Caenorhabditis elegans: one gene and its partner. The protein of the gene in region 2 purifies or fractionates together with the protein of the main gene of each other region. This does not show direct contact. Each region holds a gene or a part of one and is shown on either strand. Other genes may lie near its edges.

Evidence for each region.
Region 1: the proteins of sin-3 (region 2) and ztf-11 purify together in Caenorhabditis elegans (affinity purification with mass spectrometry; 2 studies listed by BioGRID, with this or other methods). This does not show direct contact.

What each region holds. Positions count from the first base shown.
Region 1 is NC_003279.8:9,903,151-9,912,871, forward strand, and holds ztf-11 (Zinc finger protein ztf-11), read right to left. Parts: upstream 7,396-9,721; 5' UTR 7,378-7,395; coding exon 7,197-7,377; intron 6,286-7,196; exon of another isoform or gene 6,175-6,285; intron 4,616-6,174; coding exon 4,458-4,615; intron 4,376-4,457; exon of another isoform or gene 4,253-4,375; intron 4,221-4,252; coding exon 3,996-4,220; intron 3,184-3,995; coding exon 2,970-3,183; intron 2,702-2,969; coding exon 2,582-2,701; intron 2,373-2,581; coding exon 2,078-2,372; intron 2,028-2,077; coding exon 1,949-2,027; intron 1,594-1,948; coding exon 1,246-1,593; 3' UTR 1,152-1,245; downstream 1-1,151.
Region 2 is NC_003279.8:8,413,937-8,420,683, reverse strand, and holds the start of sin-3 (Paired amphipathic helix protein sin-3), read right to left. Parts: upstream 3,854-6,747; 5' UTR 3,853-3,853; coding exon 3,178-3,852; intron 2,790-3,177; coding exon 2,503-2,789; intron 2,234-2,502; coding exon 2,077-2,233; intron 1,965-2,076; coding exon 1,662-1,964; intron 1,263-1,661; coding exon 828-1,262; intron 337-827; coding exon 202-336; intron 156-201; coding exon 57-155; intron 1-56. Other genes in the region: F02E9.7 (Tartrate-resistant acid phosphatase type 5), read right to left, coding at 4,598-4,817, 4,862-4,983, 5,030-5,177, 5,454-5,803, 5,864-6,015, 6,059-6,160, 6,623-6,713. UniProt on the Caenorhabditis elegans protein: Probable transcriptional repressor required for the deposition of dimethylated 'Lys-9' of histone H3 (H3K9me2) on asynapsed chromosome pairs (both autosomes and sex chromosomes) during meiosis, but this does not seem to solely affect the transcriptional status.

The DNA of each region.
Region 1 (9,721 bases), 1.5 Mb from region 2:
GGTTGGGGATATCAATGATACTTCTTTTAATTTGGAAAAACAACCAATTTCAGATTCTAGAATATAAATTACATTTATGAGACACACGTTTTGAATATCCCTCTCGCGGGGGAACAAAAAAAGATTTGAGGGAATCGGGAACACACAGAGAAAGAGCAGATGTTTTCGGAGAAAGCCGGGAAAAAAAAGTATGAAGAAGTGAGAGACGCAGACGAAAAGCAGTGCAGGTGGCTCATTAAAGAGGTAAACGAGTTGAGGTGGTGCATATTGATACTTTAAGATTATATGTTTGACGGATTTGAAGGTGTTTTGAAAACTAGAAAGCGGGGAGTTTTTTGAATTTGAAATGGAAGAGAAAGAGGAGAAAACTAGGCCAGCATTTGCTTTGTGGATTTACGAGCGATTTAACTATTACGGGAGCACAATATTCTGAGAAAACATGTTTGACGTGCAAAATATTTCGTAGTGAAAACTACAGTAATTCTTTAAATGACTACTGTAGCTCTTATGTCGATTTCCGGGCTCGATTTTTCTTTCAATATTCGAAAAAAAAATAATTCAAAAAATCGAGCCCGTAAATCGACACAAGAGCTACAGTAGTCATTTTAAGAATTACTGCAGTTTTCGCTACGAGATATGTTGCGCGGCTCAGAATGTTGTAATCTCGTAATATATAAGTAGTTTCCAATGTTTCTTGCAAGTTTTAGCGTTAAAATTGCATCAATTTCAGAAAATAGCCTTAAGTACACATCGGAATATTATTTGCAAGTTTCATTTTTCAATTTCCTCTTCCATTTCAATATTCTTTAGCAAAAAAAAGGTCGAGTGAACAATAAATAAACTAATTGTAAGGACCGTTTCCCCCTAACATATTGTCCAATTCACTTGATTGAGTATTTCTAAGAAAGGTCAATGACCGAAAAGTAACTGGCAAACTCTCAACTACTGTCATTTTTGGTGCAAACGGTGCAATCTGGCGACATCTGCCACTTCTTAATACGGTCTCTCTCTCTCTTCGCTCCACGATGCTTGATTGATGATGACCACCGGGCTGCTGGTGCTGCCCGAGAGAGCACACAGATTTGAGAGGAGTAGAGATAAATCAGTTTGAAAGAATAGATTGAGGAGAGTGAGGGATAAAAGAAAAAACTATTTGAATAAAGAAGGAATGTATTGAGTTTCTGAACACAAATGTGAATCAATCGGTAATGTGAAAACTAGAAATAAATACGATTTTTTAAAAACTTAAAACCCTTGCTGCATTTGCAATTGTGTCAGCATGATTTGAGCAAGTAGAGCACTTTGATTTCCGAAAAGAGCCGCTTGTGGGGAATACTGAGGGAATGGCACTTGTGGGGCAGTCATTTTGAGAAGAGCCTCCGAGAATCCAGGCATTTGAAGGAGCATTTGAGATGTTGGGGAGCTCTTTTCCGCGGAGCCAGGAGCAACTGGAGCAGCAACAGGTCTTGATGGTGTTGATTGAATCTCTGGGATCACGGATGGAACAGGTGACTCGCATTTAACTTCTTCTTCTTCTTTAATAAGAGTTGGAATATCATCTGATGTTGTTTCAACGTCAACTTCCATCTCGTTCTGAAATAAATTACCGTTAAGATTAAAAGATAAAGTGACTTTGGTAAGTTTTTCAAATCTTCACAACTGCCCATTTCGGATCAAAAATTAATATAGAAAAATGGAAAAATATCTGATTGATTCGGAAATAATCTTCATTTTCTTGGGAAATTTGGAAACTGGAGGAAGTTGTCATTTACCAAAAAACTGTCTTAGAATTTTTTTTCGGTAAAGGACAGTTTGAGAAAGTTTTTCAGGTCTTTAAAGTAATTTTTATGAGCATTTTCCCAAAACTTTTAAATAAAATTATTTTCAGAGAGTACAAATATTCCTCAATTAAAAACTTCTCAGAATCAAATGTTATAAATTATTGTACCTCTTTCTTTGACTCCTCTTCCAATGTAGCAAGTGGTTGTGTTTGAGAGAATTGTTGGAAGAGAGCATCCATCATTTGACTGAAAATTCAATTTTATAGAAACTGTTTATTGAGAATGAAATAGAATACCTTGATGGAATGAGTCCTGCTTGTGCTGCAGCCAACAATTGCTGAGCTGACAATCCAGCTGGAAGTCCAGAAAGTGTCAAGTCAAGTGGACATTCATCAGAAATACTGATTCCCTTAATTGGAGTTTTCGTGCGTTGTGGTGTTGTCTTAATTCCCTTCCGTGCAAGCTTTTCCTGATGGGCAATTGGACAACCAGAGAGACTACGGTGAGATGTTCTATTTCCATTGACATGTCCCTTTCCAGAGCATCCGGCTGTGGTGCATCGGAGCACGGTGTCTTGTCGGAGAGCAAGCACTGCAAACGGGAAAAGTAAGTGAGTGAGTGGGAAAAGTCATCAATCTTTGGCTCTTGCTACTGCTACAAGTATTGGCTTCAAAGTAAGTATGAAATGCATGAGAGCTCATTTATCTTAAGCTCTTTTTACCAGATTAATGAGCTAGTTTACTTGTTGCTCCAAGTTCACAGCCAGCTAAGATTTATGTTTAGTTTCAATTTAAACTTACTTTGGATAACAGTCTTGTCTGGTCTACGTGGACATCCGGACAAACTTCTGTGATGAGTGTAGAGTCCTGTCTGATGTCCTGATCCATCACATCCAGGTGTTGGACAAGCCAGTTTGCCTTCTGAAAGTTGGGACTTAGTACCGCTCCAAATGGAATTTCATGTGATTCGGTGCGAGTGGAGTGGTAAGTGAGGGGATTAGTTTATTTTGTGGTTAGTGCACTCATTTTATCCCTCCCAAATGGATTATTATTTTTTGATATTCTTCGAAAGAAAACTCAGAATGGGGGAATTAGTGGTTAGTAAGTTGGGGTTAGAGATTGATTTTCAACTGAAATATCTTCAGAGGATTACTGTAGGGTCCCAACTTTCTGTTCAAAAAGTCCTTACCACGTCTGATGCTCCATGAGTAACCAGTACCAGGTGATGGAATTGATCCGTTTGGAGTAAATGCAACTGTTGGAGTTGTAGAGATTGAAAGTTCATCACTGATATTTGTATGTGTAATTGGAGACATAACTCGAGATTCTGATCCAGATGAGTGTGGTGGGCTTGAAGCAGTTAATGGAGTCTTTGGAGTATCCGACGATGTCATCATTGGGCTCTGAAAATCGTATTTTTTGGTAAAAAAGATATGAAACGAAGAAAAACAATAATAGTAATCCATCAAAGTTGGCAAGTCTCACTCTTTACTACTACTACTCCTAGTAAGAACAATCGGTGAGGCGGCAGTGTCATTGGTCACGCAATGTCATCCGTTGGGTTCTAAGGTGTTTTGTGTCTGTTTTGACATATAATTAAAGTTGGAAGCCCTTGCGTGACCAGCAACTTGTTATTTCAAGTCATTGCTACCAACTAGGTGGTCCGAGGAGTTGTAAGAAATTTGATCTACCGTACTCGCTTTAACAATTGAATTTAATAGAGTTTCCAAAAGTTCCGTGAATTTTCCTGAGAACTTTCCTAAATCTTATAGAAAATTCCAGAAGTTTTCCTAATTTTCTAAAATCTCCAGAAGATTTTTGAACCTCCTAGAACTTTTCAAACGTTTCTCCAGCTTTTCTTTCTGAAACCTTTCGAAACAGTTTCGACTTTTCAAAGTTGCTCGGTTCTTCCAAGACCTTCCAGATGATTTTTAAAAATTTTTAAAAATTTTCCGGAACTTCCCAAAATTTCCTCGAAGACATGACCCTAATTTTCGTTAAGCTAGGCATTGCAAAACTACCAGTTTCCCTTGAAACTTCTCACTTAAATTTTCAAAATTTTGAAATAATTTCCCAAGTTGAGCTGCCATTCCCAATTTCAATATGTGTCAATGTGAGTTCATAAATATGCAACAAGTCACTTTTCTCTACCGTGTGCCCCCCATTCCCACTTCACTTCTTTTCACTCAAAATGCAAATTTCTTTGGCTTCTCACCTTTGACGACGACGTCTCCTCTGCTGTCACGACACCACCATCCAAAACTGAGTCGACATCGGAAGGTGATGTGTCAGAGTGTGTGGCGCTCATCATATTTCCTGATGTAAAAATTTCAAGCTGTTTTTGGAAGGATGGAGCCATAAATTGCGAGAAGAGGAACGACGGAACTCCTTCGAGGCCACTTGGAACTGATGAGGTGACGACATCTGCGGAGGTGGCGGTCTGAAAGTGAATGGAATGAATGAAGATGTTATCTCAAAGGATCTCAGACAGATGTACAGGCACATGTTCTTCTTCGGAAGCATAAAAAAGTTGTTAGGTAATAGTTCGGAACGATGGAACAGGTGCTCTCTCTAGGCCCTGTCAGCTGTCTTTTGCGTCCTTTTAAGACCATCCAAGGACACATCATATATTTAATTGCCGATTCGATTTCAAAACCGAACACTAAATTTTACTAACCTGTTCAGTTGGTTTCTGTGCATTGTTTGTTGTCGTGTCACAAGTCATATTCTGATCTTCTTCTGTTTCGTTTTCTTTTGTATCTGAAGATGATGGAATCGATGAACACGTGGCAGCAGCGGCTTCGGCTTCTTCGGCAACACGGACAATGTCTTTAGCTGTAATGAGCAAAAGTCATGATGTGAAGGGTAATGATGGAGCGGTAATGTATGGAGTTCTAATGAATAGGTAGAGCAACATGAGGAGATGAGTACAAGAACATCTGTCAACTCGTAAGATTCTGATATTTGAGATGAGAGATGCATTAGCTAAGTAGGGGTAAATCCCAAGAAGAGAAGTTTCAGTAGATCAAGTTCAAATTTCCGAGGCCAGATATTTTTCAGGGAGTTGAAAATTGAAGCTCCTTTGGTCGCCAGCATTTGTTTCATAAAAATTCACTTTTGAATAATTTTCTATTTCGCTACATTTATCAATTTAGGTATGCGGCAGGCGTAGGCCTCAGGTACTGTCAGAAAAGTTTCAGCCAATCCATCATGACTGTCAACTACAGTAATCTACCCATATGCCTCATTTTCCCATTCTACAATTTTCCTAACTCTTCCCTAATCTTTACCACCTTACCACCATATGTCATGTAAATGGTTCCAGATAGAGCGGTGACTAAAGAGAACGCAATGAATGTATAATTAATGATGCAGGACTTCTCCCCTCTGTTAGAGATCACTTGCGGTAAAAAAACTACAATAGAAGTGGGAAGCTTTTGATTGAGAAAAGGAAGTAACCAATGAGCCGAAGCGCGCCCTATGATGTTTTTGAAGTGGACCGCCCGTTTTTCGGAGATGGTCATGATGTAACCAGAAGCAGAGCACAATTCGCACAATTATGGACCGGAAAATGGAAGGAAGTGACAACTTGGCGGTGTCTTTTTGAGATTTTTTAATGAACAGAAGGAAATTTGTTTACATAGCCATTTTGAGGTGTTTTTGATTATGTAACTTATCGACTCACTGTGGCCCATTGTCACCTTTATCAGTAACTTTTTAAAATTAACTTTTGGAGTTAAAAAACCGAAAATTTGTACGAAAAGTGATTCAGTTGGCTAAATATAGCTACTTACTGCCTAGAAAAATCAAATCTCCAAAAAGTGACGCAAAGGTGATACTACAAATCGGTGTGTAAAACATCGACTTATAAGTCAGTTTCTGCCAGCCATCTGCAACCAAAAAAGGTGATATGACAAGAAGTCTTCATTTTTTGATTAGCAATAAAGAAAAAGTTTTGCAGAATGATTGCCCAAAATTACGGTATGGTGCCGTTGAAAAATATATAAAATATATAAAATTCCAGCTAATTGAAGCCGATGCACTTTGTATGGGAGGCATTTTGAATTTCAAAGGAAAGTTTTTAGCAAACAAAAAAACAAAGTGCTGGCGGTCTGTAGAGAACATCTGGCGACAGATGGAGGGGTACTTTTAAGAGGAGACAACTTCTAAGGGGGGAAAGATTTTGGATTTTGGATTTAAAGGTCACGACACTCACTCACTCGAATAGCCGAAATAATTGAATGGTAAAAAGTAAAAAGCGTGTGGCGGCTGTTTAAACTTTAAGCTTACATATTGGTCATTCGTAGAAGCATCTATATCACTGCTGACCATGGAAAAGTACTAGAGCTCCCTGTTTGAGCAGCTGTCGGTGTCTCCCAGTCACACTGTGCTTACGGGGTGGCCATATTTAGATTTTGACCATATAATAGTACTAGTAAATAGTACGAGAAAAAACTATTTGACGAGAAGAGAAAAATTATCTAGAAAGTCTTGTAGGGAGCAAGGAGAAAAAAATAATTTGAAAGTGAAGTTTCTGACTTTGAAATGGCTCTCTTTCTCAAATCTAAGTCAAAACGACTACAACATAATGCGATTTGACGTTGCGACACTAGATCAACCCGGGTTGTAGTTGAAAGAGTTGGAAAATATTGAAAAATCCAAAAACAAATGATGATGACGAGTAGGGTCAGAAGACCCAAATCTTTTCGATCCATTTTATCACAAGAATCAGATGGCAGATGGAGTTGCATTTGCAAAGTTATAGAGAGACAGTGGGGATTACGAGAGGAGAAGAATTGAACAAAGAAGGTTTCCCACGAGAAAAGTTTTACAGGTCAGGAGGAAATCCTCTATTCACTCTTAATTAAACAATTAGTGACACTTTGAAACTAGGCAAATAGCACCTAACCGAAACAATATTAAAACTATTCACACTGGAATTATAAATTAGAACAAATAAGTGCCGACTAGGAGAGAGTTTTACTTTAACAAACTGTATTCCGGGTTTTTTTTTGTTTTATCAAAATGTTTAACTATTAAAATGAAGAGAAATATTTGGCACGTACTTTGCCTGTTGAATAATTTTTAAAAGTTCAAAGATTGAGATAAACGATATAAAAGTAGAGAATTTTAGGGGCAAGTACCGCTTAACCATATGACTACGACTTTCATCGATTCCATCTTAGCTGTTTTTGGTATTATCAAGAAGTGAACGAGTTTTTATTTGTTTTCTATAGTTTACTGGTTGAATTAAATCAAGCTTAGAGTAACCAAGACACATGTAATCAAAAAGATTTTACCTATGAAAATAAAAACTAAATATTTTCCCAAATTTCTCCAGTTATTTTTTTTAATATAAAACACAAAGTATCCGAAATACAAGCTGAGCAACATCTCAAACTTTTCCCAAACTTACATTCTGGCTTCCGGCGTCTCTTCTTATCAGAAGAATCTGAAGCTGTGGAGTCTGGAGATTCAGATCCATCGGAATGAGTATCTGGAGGTGTTGGAAGTGAACCAGAAGATTTCATGAGCAATGACATTAAAACTGCTGGATCAATGGATGAAAAGTCTGGGTTGTTGGAGATTGATGACATTTTGATATAGATAAAGTCCTAAAACATATTTTTTAAATAGTAAGAAGGTACAGAGAAAAAGTTTTCAGCAAACAAGAAAAGTAGCAAGAAAGTGTAGAAGGACCACAGAATGACCACACATAGACACTCAAAGTAAGGAGGGCGGTCTGGAGGAGGACACCATCTGCTTAGCGGCGTGGTGCACCTGGCATCATGCATTGCCCGCGCACATACAGAGACTCCGCCTTCTTTTGGACAGTAATGGGGTTGCGTTCGGGTACCAAGTTAAACCCCAATGGCCCCCGATAATGCTTACGGGGGCAGGTGTGGAAGAGCAGGAAATGAATTATTGGAGATGGGACAGCAGGGATTAGGTAAAGTTAGATGTGCATGGTATTCAGTGGAGAACACTTGATGGGAGGATGGAAAATAATAATAATAGTTTACGTTGCGCGTGTATGGGAGATCAAATCCATCAGATTAGATGGTACAGACAAGACACTTGTAATGCGACACCTGTCTATGGCACTTTTGAATAAAGAGCTATGAATAGTATAGTCTAGATATGGAGTTTTTCAAACTTTTGAAGCTAATTGTATGTATAATAATTTTGAAAATGTGAAAAGTTGTCAATGGACGATACACAATTGTAATTTTTCAGGATTCACTGATAATTTTTGGATTTTGAAACTTTACACAAGTTCACCTAACAAATAGTTTTTTAACAGATATCAAAAAGTAACTAACTACAAAACGGTAGAAAAATGAATAAACATTTTCTTGCCAATTGATAATCTGTTGATATAGCAGAATACAACCTAGCAAAGTTGAAAAATTTAGAAGCAAAACAAATAAAGTCTGAATTTCTAGATTACCCCAGAAAGTAGGTAGTGTACACTTCCAAGTTTGGTAGATCTTCTTCTTGAACAAAATCAATCATAATCCTAAAACATATCTTCACTGTCACTATAGTAACAGTTTCACATTCAAGTGTGAACCGGAAGATTACAGAAATTTGAATGATTATCCTACATTTTGTTTGTTTTGAATGTAACAGAAGATAAGCCAAACTCTGAGGCGGTCAAGAGGAGAACCTAATAAAAGGTGAGGGATCTCGTTTATGACGTGGCAATGTATATTGGTTATGCACACAGAAATAGATACTATTGGGAAGTTATGTAGGTCACTGTATTGACAACAGGCAGACCTAATAGAGTGCAAACTAAACTTATTATTAGATAGAGATCTTACAAGGGTACACAGTTTTTAATTTTAGACCGTTTAACGAAATGTTTTTAAATTTACTTATATGATCGAGAAAAACATTAAAACTGAAATCCCACAAGTATAAGCCGTATTTTCCTACTACGGAAAGAGCAGGTTCTTGAATCATAGGACTTTTAATGGGGAAGATCTACCAAGTTTGGAAGTGTATGCTACCAACTTTTGTTTAGTAACCATCTGGAAAACTAGCCACTCTATCAGACTTGAACCCTAATGCTTAATTTTGACAGATGTTTTTTTTCATCAGAAATTATCAACTAGCACAAATGTAACATTTCTATCTCTACAATTTAGTAATTAACTACTTTTTGTATTTTTAAAATGTAGTGAAATATAGAATGCCAACTTGAAGAGAGAAATACTAATAGAAAAAAGCGCATCATGCTTATCAACCAACTTAACACTTTATATGTGAATTCGCAACTCTAGATAACTCTAGATATCAGTTTTAATTTACATTATTAGAAAAAAAAACATATCTACAAAATACCATGAAAGAAAATAATGGAAGTTACAAAGTGAGCAAAGAGTGTTGTCAAACTACAAGCATGGCCAATTTGTTTCGAAACGATCGTTGAACTTTAATGATGTGATGTATCATGTGTCATTTCCTACTAAATTTTTAAAAAAATCAATCCGAAACACGACTCCCCTAGTAGTAACTGAAAAGAACAAAACGATTAATGATGGTTGGAGAGGGAGACGATGTAAAAACTTAAAGAGTAGAAGACAACTGAGTTGTGCACGGCGGCTTCCTCTAGCCAATAGTTGAGAATTGGAGGCGGAGTCGAAAGAAGAAGTGACGGAGGGCGGAGTTATAGAGGCATACTTTCAACTATTGGGATTTGGAGTTCAGTACTTTGAGATTAATCAAAGTATGTTAAAAGTTTCATATTCAAAAGTGCAGAATAATAAAGTTAATAGTACAGAAAATAGGGACAGATGTTGTACTCATCATTCGAAAAATAAAAAGTTGGTCCAAGGCGGTCGCTTATGGGTTTTGAAGACGCGTGTAAAAGTAGAAATAAAACAAAGAGTATATTGGAATAGAAAAGTGAGTGTTAGTTGTAGAATGCGATAT
Region 2 (6,747 bases):
AAATTTGGATTTTGAATCGAAATCCCCATTTACGCTACTCCACCGTTAAAACAAACCCTTTCATAAAGAATTCTGTATGATTTCTTGAGTATCATCAATTCCACGGTTGCTCCTTCATCGCCTTGCCCAGCAACTTTTAGTTTCAGTTTTTCATTCTGAAATTTTTAATCATTTTATTTAATTTTAAAAGGAGTAGCAAACCTTTTTAGTCCCCATTTTGCATTTTTCCATTTGTTTCACTAAATCCATGTCGACATCGGATGGATTTACACGATTTACAGGTGGAATATCGTTACGATCGTTGGTGGCGGAGAAATGGAGAATTGTTTTGATTTTCTGGAAAAGAAAAAAGGTTTAAAAATATTGATTTGCAATGATAGTTTTTTTTTTCAAAAACGAAAAAGGCGTTTTGTTTACAAAAACTGGTTGGTAGATCAAGGGCAAATTGCATGATTATTGAGATTTTTTTTTGATCTATGATATTTTTCGACGATGAACAAATATCAAGTCTACTTTTCTAATTAATTATTTCAAAATATATTTAAATATTAAAAACTGAAAATTAAATTAGATAGTTCACTTGAATTGTTTTAGATATTTCTATTTTAAATTTTAAATTTTCGCAATTTCGTGAATGGGAAATTTTCTATAGAATACTGCAAATATTCTGAAATTCAAAAATCATGCAAAAAAACGAAAAATTCTTGAATTTGGAAAGTTGTGGTTTTTCATTATTCCTCGCTTTTTCGTGTTTCATTTGGTATTTCGGAATTTCAGAATATTTTTTAATTATTATGAAAAATCATATATAGGATACATTATCTCACCAATGCTATCGCATCAGATCCATTAACAAGAAGTTTCCCAAGATATGGAAGAAAATCAATAGTTGCTGCAAGAAGATCAGGTTCTCCAATACAACAATTAGCAAGCATTGAGACAAGATAATCTGAGCACGATTCCTCAATTTGCAGATTTTTCGATGAATCTTTTTTCTCAATATCATCAGGTTTTTTGATTTCTTGTGGTGCATTGGATGGTCCTGGAACATCATCAACTTCGATTTTCTCATTTTCTTCAATCTCGTCATCCTCATCATCTTTTCTCAATTTTTCCATATCTTTTTTATATTGTTGATCACTCATGAAGAAGTCAATGAACGTCATGAAATCAACAAGTTTCGTCGGGCGAGCCAGAAACGATTTTTTGAGAAGTTCGATTATGTTCAGTGTATGAGCAGCCAATTCACTTGACATTTCGATCTGAAAACGATTTTTAAATTTTTCACATGGCACTTACATGTTTTCTAGATCAATTATGGCTTGTGAAGGCAGAAGTTTGATATACAATAATAAATAGCTAAGAAAATGTACTGAAAAGACAACAATGTTTCGCTACAGTAAACACTCCAGGACAAAGAAAGATATAGAGCTCAAACGAGCAAGAGAATCGCCCATCGTTGAAGAACTGGGAAAACCAGCAACTATCAGTGAAGGCAATACAGAAAAGTAAAAATTTTAGAAGATTTTTATTTTTGAAGAAAAATCTGAAAACGTTGGTATGTATTTTTTTAAAATTTATCAAAGAAGATTTCAGATATGTTTAAAATCAAATATTTTAAAAACCTTCAAGTTTTTTGTTTTCAAACAAACAACACAAACCTCTTGTTGTGAATCTTCACAATCATCCTTCTTTCTATCATCACAAATAATTTCTTCAATCAAATGATTATCTTCTTCCATCATTTCTTCATTATTTTTATCTTCTATTCCAGATTCTTCATCATCTTCATCATCAATTCCATCTACATCATCTTTTTCTTTACTTTTATCCATATCTTCATCTTCAATTGTACGGTCTTCGTCTTTTGATATTCCTTCTTGAGAACCCAACTCAATTGCTCCTACAGCTTGTGCTCCAGCTTCAATTGCACGGGCTCGGCGTTCGTCAGGCGATAGCAGAACCTTCAAATTTTTTGTAATTTAATTTCGAGGCAAAACAATATTGTGTGGATATTGGATTTTTAAAACTATTTTCAAATCAGATTTTTAGTATAATCTAAATATCCAAACGAACCCTTGGCTGCATTTGTGGCGAAGAAAAAACATATTTTCGATCTGGAGTCAATGTGATACGATATCCAGTTGGCAGAAAAGTATTGAATCCAAGAACAAGTTCCGGTGAATCATATAAAAGTTCTGCTACTTGTTCAATCACATCAGGTGTTTCAATTCTGCAAAAAAGACAGATATTTGTTTTTTTTTTTGGATTTAAATAAAGCAAAATTTAATCCGCATCAAATGTGTCGGTTTTACGATATTTCGGAAGATAGCTTGAAATTTTTTGCCTTTTCAAGTAAATTATGTTATCTTATGTTTGAACAAAACAAATGTTTTTTTAAAGTTTTTTGTAAATCTAAGAATATTTGTTTTCCCGGAAAAACCAAAACAATTTTTTTTGATTTTCAACCTTCAAAAATAAAATTCAAATTTTCAGAATTACCTCTGAGCACGAAAATCCTTCATAATTTCCAAAAATCGATGATAAACGGGTACATCAGATGAGAAAGTACTTTTAATAACTCTCAGATAGGCGAGAGCTTCATCAACACGTGGTGGACCTTCTGGTTTCTTTCGACGACCTGGACGATTTTGTCGTCGGCCACCTTGTTGTTGACGAGGCTCACGTTGAGGACACCCTGCAGAAGTTGCTGGAACAACTGGAGGAACTGAAGGAACTTCATTAGAAATTGGTCCTTGTTGAGCAATTGGAAGGGCTAGTGGAGGAGTCTGAAAAATAGATTTATTGGTTTTCGGAATGAATTGTTAAATTGACGTAAATATAAAATTGTCAATTGCTATAAATTTTTTTAGTTCAGACATGCATTTCATTGATAAAATATCATCATCTAATATTTGAAAACAGTCTTAAACTTCAAATTTTTACACATTTTCTTCAAAAAACTTACGAAATGCTGAAAAACAAAAGTAATTCTGTTATTTTTTGAGCTCAATTGAGAAATATTAGGTTTGCGAATTTCGGGAAAGCAGAAATGAAGGACAAATTGTTTGGCGCTACAGTACTTTCTAACTTTTTAAAATATAATTTTCTATAAAGAAAGGTTCAGACCTTCCAATTTTCAGACATTTTTTAATTTTCAATCAAATAAATATTTACGGGAATATGCTGCTGATGCTGTACTTGTTGAACGGGAACCTGACGATGATGGGCCAGGATTTGTTGTGCCTGTTGAGTCGATGTGAGATTTTGAATATTCAAAGCTTGTTGCTGTGGAATCGGACGAATCAATGGAGATTGTTGTTGACTGTTGGCCCTTGGTACATTTGCAGCCTCTTCCTGTGCAATAAATTGTTCAATATTTCTTGCAGCTTCACTATTTCTAGCAAATGGGGTTATTGCCGGTGAATGAGATGGTAGTAGATATTGTTGCTGAAGAGCAGAAGCTGCTGGTGAATGTGATGGTTGAAGTGGAGAACCGATATGAAAAGGAATTGGAGAACCTTGAGCATTTTGTGCAAATTGTGCCTGAGCTGCTTGAACAGCAGCTTGTACTTGAAATAATCCTAAAGGATTAAATGGAAATTGATTGAGTCCTTGAAGAAGTTGATTTTGTTGTTGTTGATGTTGCATTCTTTGTTGTTCTATCAAAATACGCTCTTGATCACGTATTTGAAGTTCCAGTTGTTGTTGTTGTTGATTCTGATGCTGTTGTTGATGTTGTGATTGTTGAATCATTTGTAATAAAAACAACGTCGCATTATTTGTAGGTTGTTGTTGAGATTGATCTCCTCCATTGTTGCCACCGCCGCCTCCAGGTGGTGGATTGTACATTCTGAAAATCTAACTTTGGAAAGTTACCTTTAGTGAGAAGTTTTAGAAAATAGAGAAAAGAGACAAAAATAAGTTTCTTTATTGATTTGCTTTTTTAGCACATCCTTAAATTTCCAACGCTGTTTCAAGCTGAACGTTCAGTTTCAATTTTTTTAAAAATCAATCATTTGATTTTGTATTATTGAACTTAAAGTTTGAAAACCGTATATAGCTGAAAAATCGAAAGAAAATTTACTTAAATTCTTTTTCAAATGTTGAGAAAACTTTAGTCTTTGATTAAAATGAGACATTGTTACGAAACAGTAGAATTTTTGTTTTTCTAATGTTACAAAGTTTTCAAATTCGATAGGAATATTGTTAGTAAATGTTTGTATGATTAAAAAACGTTACACTTTGAAATTTTAACAAAAAAAAGAACATTTTGTTCGTAAATCCTGTGAAGTATTGAAAATGGCGCTCGTTTCTCTGCTGCCTCTCCTCTCTCGCTTTTGCCTTTCAGAGCGCGTTTGCATACAGCTTAAGAGACGCAGAGAATTTATTTTCCGGAAATATAATTTAACGAAGTACGCTGAATAACCTTTAAAAAGGTGGCGGAGCTCAAAAAATAATTTAAATATTACAATTTAGAGCCCAACAAATAAATAAAATTTTTATTTTCAACCCGTTCAAGATATATTATACATGAAATTATGAGGGAGTTCAATAAATATTCAAAAAATTGAATTTCAACTGCTTAAATAATTAATTACATTCCTATTTCTACAAACGGTGAGGCAGTTGATCGTGTCGATGTATCCGTCGGGATCACACGTGTGGGGATGATCGTCGAATAAAGCTGTTTTCCTCTTTTGTCAAAGAAATCGAGTCGAGCATTGTAATGTCCAAATTCTGCATATATTAAGCCGCCTTTACGGAATCCGAGCTGCGAAACTGGTGACCACGAGAACCATGATTTTTCCGGATAACTGAAAGTTTGTTGAAATTACTTTTTAATGCTTTCAATCTTCACTTGAACTTCAACGTATCCCTACTGAATTCTTTAATATGCTTCGTTGATGCATCTGCTCGAGAAGCTGCTCCAGACACAACATAGTTAATTATATGCTCTCCATACCCGGGAAAAGTGAAATGCTGAAACATTTATAAAGTAATTTGAATTAAAATTACTAAGGTAAACCTGCAACGAATGGTCGTGTCCTGAGAAGTAAGCATTCACATTAAATCGTTTTAAAAGTGGATCCAAACGTTGACGTAAACAGTCAGTTGGACCATGTGATGACATAGAATGAACAGGATAATGACCAGAAATTATTAGGTATTGGGCACTGAAAGAGGATTTTTAAAATAAATTTCCATTACCCAGAAGCGAAATCTTCCGATTTCTGGGCCAGGCATAAGATGCACGGTCTCGGCACGACTAAATTTTGTTGAATGCAAAAATGTGCGCCTTTTTTTTTAATCTTGAATATAACAATTTAAAAATAGATGAAAATTCCGCAACAAGAGTTAAAAATTACAGTACTTTAAAGGTGCATACCTGTTTTTATTTTACAAAAAGGTCGTGGCGAGGTCATTTTTTGAAAAAATCCAAAATTCCTAACCTGCTTGCTTCTAAGTTATTCTCCAACCATGCCCATTGTTCTTCAGCGGCAGTTATATTAACAGGACCACGTGGATCATGTGATTCATTACGTAACATTTCAATAAAACCAGCATTTTGAATATCCTTTGTATTTCCACATAAGGAAATTGTATCAATCATTAAAAAATCGATAGAAGTACCATTGAATTCTACTGATTTCTTATAGTAAAGTGATGGAAAATACCACTTTTTACTATGTTTTGTATATTCAATCTCGGCGGTCACATTTCCAAAATGATCATGATTTCCGGCTATTGTGAGCCATGGAACTTGTAGACTCGGATTCGTGTAGACATTTTCGAAACGTGACTGAAATATTTTAAATTTAGAGGGATTTACTAAAATTTTGGGTTAAAAAAAAGTACAAACCTCGAATCTTGGATCAAATTCATCAGTGGGTCCCGTAAAATATATGTTATCACCCATATTTAATATCATTTGAACACTATGTTCATCTGCTAATGATGCCATTGTCTGTTTGACTTCATTTTGTGCCCAAGTCGTCTCCAATATTGGAATTCCTGAATTACTAGAGATACACTTTTTTCTAAAATCATTTTATACCTCCTGTATCACCAACTAACAAAATTCGAAAACTTTTTGAATCTCTTTCCGGATCGTAAATATTTCCATTATAAAGCGGAACATCTTCCGACGATGAAATGTCTGAAAAAATAAAATAAAATGAGATTTAACTTGAATTTTGGGTCAAGAGCTAATTCGGGTAGGTGAGGTTAGATGTGCTAGTGAGGGTTTTTGAACTAAAAAAACTAACAAAGTAGAAATTTTTGGAAAAAAAAATTCAAAAAATTCAACTTTTAAAATGTCATTTCTTCTAAATGAGATCTACCACCAATCGACACTCTGCTCCGCCCACTTCTGAATCAATCAGTGAGTCGGATTCGTTCGGAGTGAAGTTGAAAAGTCCCAATGTGTATTTATTTTCAGAATTATAAAAAAAGATGTCGATTTTTCGATTTAATTTAAAAATCGGAGAACAAAAATGTTTCGTTCTTTCGAGAGAAAAAAATTAAATTTTAACAAAAAAGTTTTAAAAATTAGGATAAAATTAATAATTTAGTAAGAAGTGCACTCTAAAACCACCTAAATCCCTCATGAAAAACCAACTGGAGACTGCAATGAAGAAGATTGTCGAAATGCCGAAAAGTCCCACAAAACACATGATTTTTCGCATTTTCCGTCGAGATTTCACTTTTTGCTGAAATAAATTTATTTGAAAAAAAAGATTTTTG